Linked DNA regions of Nothobranchius furzeri. The protein of the gene in region 1 purifies or fractionates together with the protein of each later gene. This does not show direct contact. Links are inferred from orthologs where the notes say so. Each region holds a gene or a part of one and is shown on either strand. Other genes may lie near its edges.

Region 1 (4,660 bases):
CTCTACCATGGACTCGGTTTGCTCTGCAATGTTAATGTTTTATCGCCACAAATAACTCAAGCCTGAAAGAGTTGTGATGTGATGGAGATGCTAATGCTGATGGATAGGAGTCCATGAATGCAAATTTTCAACGTGAGGCAGAATTAACTGACTTTTCTAATCCAAGCGTTTACCCAGCAATGTTCTATCAGCGGCTAATGCTGGAAATAAGGGTATAGATGTTCATGTTCAGCCTGCATGTGACCGATCATAATTAAAAAAATAAGTACAAAACGGTAAAGTCTCTTTATTATCCTTGTTGTCACAGCAGCAACAACATTCATTAAAAGAGCAAAAACGGAGCGTAAAAAGTAAGAATAAAGAGTGAATGACAACAAACAAACAGAAGTATTTTATGTAAAACACTCAAGGATTAAAAATGCAAAGATACAGTATAAACACATTTTAAGGAATAAAAAGATTTTAAAAAATTAGACATAAGTAACAAATATCACTGATGTGTTTCTTATTTCAAAATTACTTGCTCGTGTATAACTTGGTTATTGTTATTGCAGATTCTGTGTTTATGCAAAATGAAAAGGTTCAATAATACATATAGATGGGCACATTTGCCGTCATTTTTTAATAATTGTTGAGTTTGGCCCGCAACTTCGTCCCAGTTTTTCGTTTCGGCCGAGTTCGAATTCGAGTTTGACGGCCCTGTTGTAGAGTGACCAAATACCTAAAGCTTTAAGAAAAAAGGGTTCTTTGTGTTCTATTTTGAAGGTGAGGGTTTCCCTTCGTCATGACGTATCCTCTGATCGGAATGACGCAGGCTGCTCCTATTGGTTTACGTCGACGCACGAGGCCTGTAGTTTGAAAGCTGCACGGGCCTTGAAAGCTGTACTGTTAGCAACATTACGAACAAAGTTATACTATTTTGAAATAAATCCAAGATATCTTGTAGTCAGTTTGCGGCAAGACGACAGCTACGTTAAGGGGAATGTTGTCAACACACGGAACGGAAGTCCGGCGGGATGCAAGACCAGAGAGGCGTCTTTGAATGGGAAGTTTTTCGTGACTGACTTGCCTGGAACTCTACGCAAGGAGAAAGGAAAGCTAGCTGGCTAAGTTGCTAGCGGGTAGCTAGCGGCAAAGTTGCGTGCTATTCACTTCCTTGTTGCACATTGGATTTTAATGGATGGCGAGAAGTTTACGTGGACAAGAGCTTTTGTTCGTTTTTGGACATTTTAATACTGCCTGATAAATGGATTAAAAGCCTCTCGTGAGCTGTTATATTTGGGTAGAATGGTGTTTTAAAAGATTCGGTGCTGATCCGGGCCTCATGAAATGGAATCAGACTCCGTAACCGTTAGCTAGCTTCACTGATTAGCTGTGGCTAACAAATCCGTCCTGGAATGCAATGGTTTAGTATGGACTGCCTCTATAACATAGCACCTCATTTGTAACGGAGTGTGGTGGAGTCTTTTGTCGCCAAGTGTCACTACTTTGTGTGGGAGCTCATTTGTGCTCGCTTTGTCATGGAAATGTATAGCTAATATCTTGCTAACGAACTGATTGTGCTGAGAAGTTGGCTAACTTAGCCACCTAGCCCAATGTTCTGTTCAACGACACAACAAGGGACATAGTTTACGTAATTCTCAACGTACAACTAGTCAGAACTTCGTCATTGATTTTCTATTTCAAGAATAAATGCCTAACTCGGAGGTGCTTCGAGAGGGTCGGAGACGAAGCCCCTCTGGGCAGCGGAATGCTAACAGGCAGGACAGACGGAGTAAACCGGGGAGCGGTGCCGCTCAGCGAGACAGGCACCGGGAAAAGAGGCGCTTGTCGGCGTCTCGGAGGAAGAAACGCAGGCAAGCCAGGAATAGAAACTTGTGGCCAGCTGGCACAACAGGAGACATCGAGAATGATCGAAGTAACGCTTTTGAAAAGGAGCTTGAACTTCGGACACTAGTAGAGTATGACGACGTGAGCTCCCAGTCGGAGCGTTTCTCTGGAAGCCCCTCTCCTAAATCCTACCCTCATGCGGACAGCCTGTCAGTGGATCAGCTTAGCGATGCTGACTTTGGGGAGTATAATGGACCATCATCCCCTGACAGAGGTCGCCTGGGAGGCCGAGAGGCAGTTTGCCTCCGTAAAGACGCCATAACAAGAGTACCATGTGCTAAGAGGAAACAAGAAAAGGTGGTAGGGAAGAAAAAGGAGCGTCAAAGTCGTGAGAAAGAGCCTTCCAAAGTCAGGAGCGGGGGTAACCTGAGCACCTCTAAAAACCACAGAGACACTGGAAAGAGCAGTGACAAAAACAGTAAGAGGACTTCTGCAGCCCAGGCCTCCCAATCTGGAGATAAAAAGGACTCAAAAAGACACAAAAGTAAAACAAGATCTGACAAAGAGCCCCCATCTGCCTACAGAGATGCTTTACAGTCTTACAGAGAAGAACGAGAGGATCCGAGGTCCTACAGGAGAAGTCCTGCTCCTAAAACTGAAAGTCCCTATGGGACATCCTATTCATGCAGCTACCAGTCTCCTGGTGGGTATAACCAGATATCTAGAAGAAGTCCAACTTATGGGAGTAAAAGAGCTTCTCCCAGTTCCACGTACTACAGCCGGGACATAGATGTGTATGGAGCGTATGGTGCTTCCAAGTCACCCAGCTCGTACTCCAGCAACAAGAGGAAGAGGTCCCCAACAAGCCCAGCCAACTGGCGAAGGTCACCAAGTTATGGTCGACACAGTCCGTATGAACAAGGAGAGTTCGTCTCAAGTCCTTATAAAAGCCGCAGGAGATCTCGCAGTCCTTATCGGAAGTCGCTGAGCCCAAGTCCCGATGTCAGGTAAGATCAGACGGGTTTCTGTTGAGATAACTCGGGACGCGCTGAACATCTGTCTGGGTTTGGTGCCGTTTTACTCAGTTCCAACACTTCACTCACCAGCTGCCTAGTTAAATAAAAGACAAAAACTAATCGGCTTCTAAAAAAACTTGTGGGGTTTGACACCCATCTACCTCCAGCCTGCTGCTGGAGCTATTTATTCTTTAATATTTGTTCTTGTGTTACGTGATAATGTTGGGTTATTTGCCTTTTTGTTTTTGTAATTATTACATTTTTGCTTTTGTACAAGGCCCGTGGTGTTAGAACAGAGCAGCAGCAGCTGAGTGACAAACATCACACTGCTGCAGTGGCTTGTTTATTTTTAAAATTCCCCCCAGTCAGCATTACTTCTGAGTGGAAGCCTAAATACAGATTTTTAAAAAATATTTTTTTGCAAAATTGGATTGCACAATAATTTTGTTCAGCAAAAAAAAACCACACATTACATTTTTTTGTGATCAGTTTGAAAGGAAAAGATTAATCAGAATAGTCTTATCAGCTCTGTGAGTCTATTATATCCCTCCTAGTCCGTCACGGGCCCTAAAGTTAGCGGACGAACCCAAGCGCCTCTTCGTGTGTTTTTATCATAACTGAGTTTGTGTTGCTTCCTGTCCAGGCGAAGGTCACGTAGCAGAAGTCCATATACAACCTCAAGGCCTTCACGCTCTCACAGCCGCCATCGCCACTCCCGTTCCCGCAGCCGCCCCTCCAGTCTTTCGCCGAGCACGCTCACGTTCAAATCCAGCCTCGCCGCTGAGCTCAGCAAGCAGAAGAAGGTTAAAGCTGCCGAGGCAGCGGCCAAAGCCAAGAATGCGAGCAACACGTTGACTCCAACCGAGGGTTCCTCATCGGTTCCTCAGCCCAGCCCTAAACTAAACCACACATCCAGGAAGGGACGTCCCCCCTCACCACCTCAACAAGAGAAGGGCCCCAGAACTCCCCCCTTGTGCCAGCCTCAGTCCCCTGCTAACAAGGTGTCCAAGAGGACCACGGAGCACCAGAACAGTAGGGACAGAGATGGGAAAGGGAGGGATGACTCCGTACACAGGGACAAGAGGAAAGCAGCAGCATCTGTGCAGAGCAAGGACAAGGATCGAACCACCGCTCCGGTTATTTCTACTCTGCTGTCGCTGCCGTTGCCCCCAGCAGCTGCTGAACACTCGGAGAAGGGAGACAGGTATGAATATCCCGATCACACGTGTGTTTTTGTGGTTCTTTATCAGTCATCGTTCTCATGCGCCCTCAAACAGCTTAAAGGACATCTCAGGAAAAAAGAAGATAGAGAGGAAGGCTCGTCAGCTCCTGGCGGACCTGCCGCTGCCCCCCGAGCTTCCTAGCGGCACGTCGTCCCCTCACAGTCCTCCTGAAGACAAAAAGTCCCAGACGCCTCGTCGAAGACCCAAGTAGGTTTTAATAATTCTCTACAGCCCCTTTTCTTCTCTTGGCCTCATTAAAATGTTTGCTTTTCATTTCTAGAATCTGTGGCCCAAGATTTGGTGAGATCAAAGAAACTGAGATCTACTGGGGGAAGCGGTGTGTGGACAAGTTTGAGATCATTGGAATCACGGGGGAAGGCACCTACGGTCAGGTGTACAAAGCTAAAGACAAAGACACGGGTACGTCACTCGTCATCTCTGCTGTTTTCCACGGCGACATGTTTATGCAAGTCACTGACTCGGCTGTTTTAAAGGCCAGCTAACACTCGACCCTCTTCTATTTATTAATTAGGTGAAATGGTGGCTTTGAAGAAAGTTCGACTGGACAACGAGAAAGAGGGCTTCCCGATC
Region 2 (4,727 bases), on another chromosome or scaffold:
CCTGCTTCCATCGCTGCGATCATGCAATAGTCGTGTAGCTGGGCAAGAGGAGACATTGGAACATAAGGCAGTATGCTGACATTTCAGATGACGTCATTAATTTTGGAGGGGGAAAAAAACAAGCATCTTTGTTAAATGTTTATTTGCAGGGCTCTAAAGTGTGTGTGGCCCAGGGCAGTCACCTGTCTTTGATCAGTAATGTTGCCACATCACTTGCTTATAACAAAAATGGTCATTCCACTGTGGTAATTCAAATTCAGCAACAACTGAATACTGAAGTATTTGGGTGGCAGGACAAGTGGCTGATGTCACTGCTCTGAATGGAAGTTTGAATGGTGTGCATGTGCTCCAGGTAGCAAGTGACTCAAATATCAACGAAAGCCAAACAAGTGAAGACGTGTGTTATCTGTTCATCGTAGATGTCACAATTTTTATGTCTTTTCTTTTACTGCGTGTTTAAAGAACTGGCCACCTGTGAGGCCCCACACCACAGAAATATCGCTTCAGTTATTATTTCGTCAAATTCTAAGGAAATGTTATTTAGAAGGTTGGATGTACATGTGGGTGGTGTTCTTTGAACATGTGAAAAACAAACCCTGCCTCAAGTCAAAGAAAACAACAACTGCCTTATCTACAATGAGCAGTTTTTATTCAATCATTTACAATAAAGTCAAACGTAAAGGCTGTGTGTCCTAACCATTACACACGACTGTCAGCTTCTACATGCAAATGTGAACTCCAACCATCACAACAGAGCACAGTGCTGGGCTGTTTTCAGCTTTCTATTTATTCTGGAAACGACTAAACACTGAGAATATTACATTTCAGTTTAGGCCATATTAAGTAGAATTTTAAAAAGACTGTTGGGCCCTGAGGGCTCTCTGTGAATAATACCGAGCATCATGTGGGGCGCTAAAGGTCTAAACCACCACCTACTCATCAGATTAGTCACAGAGTCTGCATGAATCATTTTCACTCACCAGTAAAAGTACTTATTAATGTGTTTAGATCTTGGTGGTGATGTGGTCTAATTATCAGAAAAGTGTGTGCCCCAAACATTGACTGTAAAAATGTGACATAAGAGAAAGAAAAAGAAAATAAACATTTAGCAATCTCTAGAACTCAACAAAAATTTAGAATTTTCAAAAATAAACAAACAAAAAAAGATGAGAAGCCAGATCTGAGAAGACAAAAAGCAGTCAGATAGATGTGTGTTCGTACACACCTACACAAACTCACACAAATACATGATGTTCAGAGATGTTCAAAACACACAAGCAGCAGATTCAGGGGCCACTGAGGCAACTGAAAACCTGCTGTCAACATCATTCCCTTCGATCTTACTAAACAGTGTAGGAAAGTTATTTCACCCATTAGCTAACTAATCATACATAAAAAGCTGTTAACCATACAGTGGGTAAGCCAGAAGGGTTTCCTTGTCACTCTGTCTTATCTTCTCCCTGCTCCTGTTTCACCTCTTCATAAGTGGCTTCTTCCTCTTTCTCAACCCCAGCAGCTTCTTTAGCATTTGGGACCCAGAGTCCTGAGTCAATGCATCTCTTCATGTGAAGCTTTGCCTCCTAAATTGTGAGAAAGAATCACAATAAATTGCAATTTCAGTCAAATAATGTCAATATATAACAAACCTAATCAACAACATAAGAATAACCTACCGTCGGGTCCATTTTGCTAATAACATCCTGTAGCATCTGGATGTCCTTCTCATCAAAACATTTCTGCATCTCCTACAATTAAACACACTTTATTACAACACAGGTAAAACAGTGACATCAGAAATATGTCATTTGTCACTCAGTCAGCCACTCTCCCCCACCTCCAAATGTCACACCACTCAACACCACCACCCTTCCTCAGGACCAATTCAAGTTTATTTACAAAGCGCCAAATCATGACAAGAATTGTCTCAAGGCATTTCACATTGTAAACATTCCAATACAGGTCAGTTCATTAAACCAATCAGTAAAAAGTTTCCTATATAAGGAACCCTGCAAATTGCATCAAGTCACTGACTAGTGTCAGAGTCTTTACAGCATGTTCACCCCCTCTGCAGTAAGAGCGTGTAGCTCCTCAGTTTAACTGATACTGGCATGATCCTGGTACACAATAACACCAATGCAATATTCAGTGTGTGTTCAATACTTGTGCAATACCTGATTCACATTAGCATGTGTGTGTCCCCTATGCTGCAACGTTCTGGAAACCCAAGTTTCTTTTCATTTGTTGTTTTTAGTGGTTGAAGGTTAGCTTACTGCCTCTGTGTGTTTACCTGTAATCTTATTACTTTTCTACTTCCTGTTCTCTAAGTGGATGTGTTGCTGTAGTACGTTCATTTCCCCACTGTGGAATTAATAAACTCTATTCTATCTGAATGTCCTTCCCATCAAATCATTTCTGCATCTCATATAATTAAAAACACTCTGTATTACAACGCAGGTAAAACAGCGACATCAGAAATATGGTTAACACATTCACTTACAGGTGGAAGGGACTCGTACACCTCCGCGGGGTCTAGTCCCCCAGGACCCATGCGTTTCTGTCGTTCTTCTTCTTCATACTCTTTAATGGCCTTTTCGATGCGGATCTTGGCTCTTCCACGGACTCGCTCCTTGAATGACTCCAGCTCATCGTTGAAAGCATCCTGGTACTGCTGGTCTGCTGTCTGGGTGAATAAACATACAAGAAAAGTAACATGAAAGCACTTCCAACATGGAGTGTTTTCAGAAACTTCATCAAAACAAACAAGAATAGATATAATTTTACTTTTTAAAAAAGTATCCCCTTAAAAACGTATGTAATACAAAAGTCCAAACACGTAATAATTACCTTGATCTTTGCAAAAAACTGGCGAAAGCAACCACGGGGGTCCAGTTTGAGGCTTTTGGCCAACTCAAGAATGAACTGCATAACGATGGTCTGATGAGCCACCTGTTCCATCAGAGCATGTTTCTGCAAAACGAAGAGGCACAGAGGCTCATGTTCTAATCAGACAGTGACCATGTAAGACATACAATAGTAGCACGAGATTTCTTTTAAGCTGTTTACCTCCTCAACTTCAAGGTCAATACACATGATGACAAGGTAGTTGGCAGTTTCTTCACATACAAGATGAGGATTGTCAGAGAGGTACTTCTGGCTGTCATCCCAGCGTCGCAGCATGCCTGAGGTTACCACAGCGACAAATCAGCATCTCTATTTTTACTGTCCTACTGATTTGCTCATTTTAATCATGGTTGTCAGGCGGGCTTACCAAAATGTTTGAGCTGCTTTTCGTTCTTCTCCACAAAAGTTTTATGTTTTTGCTCCTTCTCCTCTTCTGTCTCTTCAGAAGGGTCTGGTTTGACGTTAACAATGCTCTAATGAAGACAAACAAAACACCGTTAATAGATGACGACTGCATTCAAATGCATTTTATTGCATCGTTCTGTAAGTTAACGGCATGTTAGAATGTTGTATATAAGCTCTAAATATTCAAAAATAACACACTTCATATAAACCTTGATTATGTTTATTTACAATTAAAGGATGATTTTAGTTTGTATTTTCAGGAGATTGTATACAAGCTACTCCCAACAAAAAAATGACCAACATTCATGCTGAGCATCAAACTAGACTGATTTTAAACATGAAATTGGGGGAAAAAAATATTGCCATCAAACCGCTGAGACAACTATTGATTATAAATTGACAGGTCTGCCAACATTGATACCAGTGGATGCAAACCAATACTTTCTATTTCGCAGTAAGCTGTTGCCTGATCCTAGTCACCTTGCTGAAACCATCTCTGCTGAGTGTGTCCACGTTCCACGGCATCTTCTTCTCCTCTCTGTTGTATTCATCCAACTTCCTCTCCCAATCTCTCTCCTCCTTTTTCAATTTCTTCTCCTCAGCCTGGACTTTGCTCAGCTCTGCTTTGGCCTCACCCGACACATTTAGCTCTTGCAGTTTCTTTTGCGTCTCAGTCAGCTTGCGCCGACATTCTTTCAGGCTCTTGTTGATGTCTTCTCCTTTTTTCTGGAACTCTTCCATTCGATCCACACGTGCCTGAAATGGGATGATGCCAATCACAACTGGAGGTACAAAACTTTTACAATACACTTTGTTACAAGTTTTGTAGGCTTAGTAATTCACTACAGCTACATAAACAGGTTTGCTAGGAATTAGCATAGGGAGAATGTTGTTTGCAACACCAAACTGAGTCTAGGACGCCAGCTAACCAAAGTACCAGTCCGAAGTTAAAAGAAAATCAAAACTCAGTCACGTTATAAATCAAAAAGGTACCTGGTGTCTCCATCTGAAGAGGCTGGGTGTGTCAATGTTTGGGTGGGTATCATCTTCATCGTCCGAGACCTCAATGTGATCCCACACGCTGTAATCTATCCTGGACATCCTGTAAACCAGAACCTAGCTTGTTTTAAGAGTTCGATAATTTCAATTAAAACTCTCGGAAAAACAAATTCAACAACACTCTGACGCTTTCCAAAGTCTCCGAAAGATGTGTTAACTACCAACGGCGCATTAGACTGTAGTCTTATCAGAAGGGAAGGAGCTGGACTGTCTCAGCGACAGTTAGCCAAATGCTGCTACAAAATTCTAGAAAGATTCGCTGCTGCAAGCTTCCGCTACACGCCTAAACGTCATGACGTAAAAGGCACGTATGACGCAGGTGTTGTGGTAAAAAATGCACTCGTATGTGCCTGCGACCGTAT

What was found. Proteins that work in one complex are often made in the same cells at the same time.
Region 2: the proteins of cdk13 (region 1) and cdc37 purify together in Homo sapiens (affinity purification with mass spectrometry; 3 studies listed by BioGRID and IntAct, with this or other methods). This does not show direct contact. The link is inferred for Nothobranchius furzeri from reciprocal best matches to the Homo sapiens genes CDK13 and CDC37.

Annotation. Positions count from the first base shown.
Region 1 is NC_091747.1:43,581,291-43,585,950, reverse strand, and holds the start of cdk13 (cyclin-dependent kinase 13), read left to right. Parts: upstream 1-1,477; 5' UTR 1,478-1,692; coding exon 1,693-2,837; intron 2,838-3,489; coding exon 3,490-4,050; intron 4,051-4,123; coding exon 4,124-4,276; intron 4,277-4,349; coding exon 4,350-4,489; intron 4,490-4,601; coding exon 4,602-4,660. UniProt on the Homo sapiens protein: Cyclin-dependent kinase which displays CTD kinase activity and is required for RNA splicing.
Region 2 is NC_091745.1:3,432,805-3,437,531, reverse strand, and holds the end of cdc37 (hsp90 co-chaperone Cdc37), read right to left. Parts: intron 4,651-4,727; exon of another isoform or gene 4,409-4,650; coding exon 4,300-4,408; intron 4,063-4,299; coding exon 3,787-4,062; intron 3,375-3,786; coding exon 3,269-3,374; intron 3,180-3,268; coding exon 3,064-3,179; intron 2,968-3,063; coding exon 2,845-2,967; intron 2,681-2,844; coding exon 2,498-2,680; intron 1,746-2,497; coding exon 1,674-1,745; intron 1,581-1,673; coding exon 1,440-1,580; 3' UTR 628-1,439; downstream 1-627. UniProt on the Homo sapiens protein: Co-chaperone that binds to numerous kinases and promotes their interaction with the Hsp90 complex, resulting in stabilization and promotion of their activity. Inhibits HSP90AA1 ATPase activity.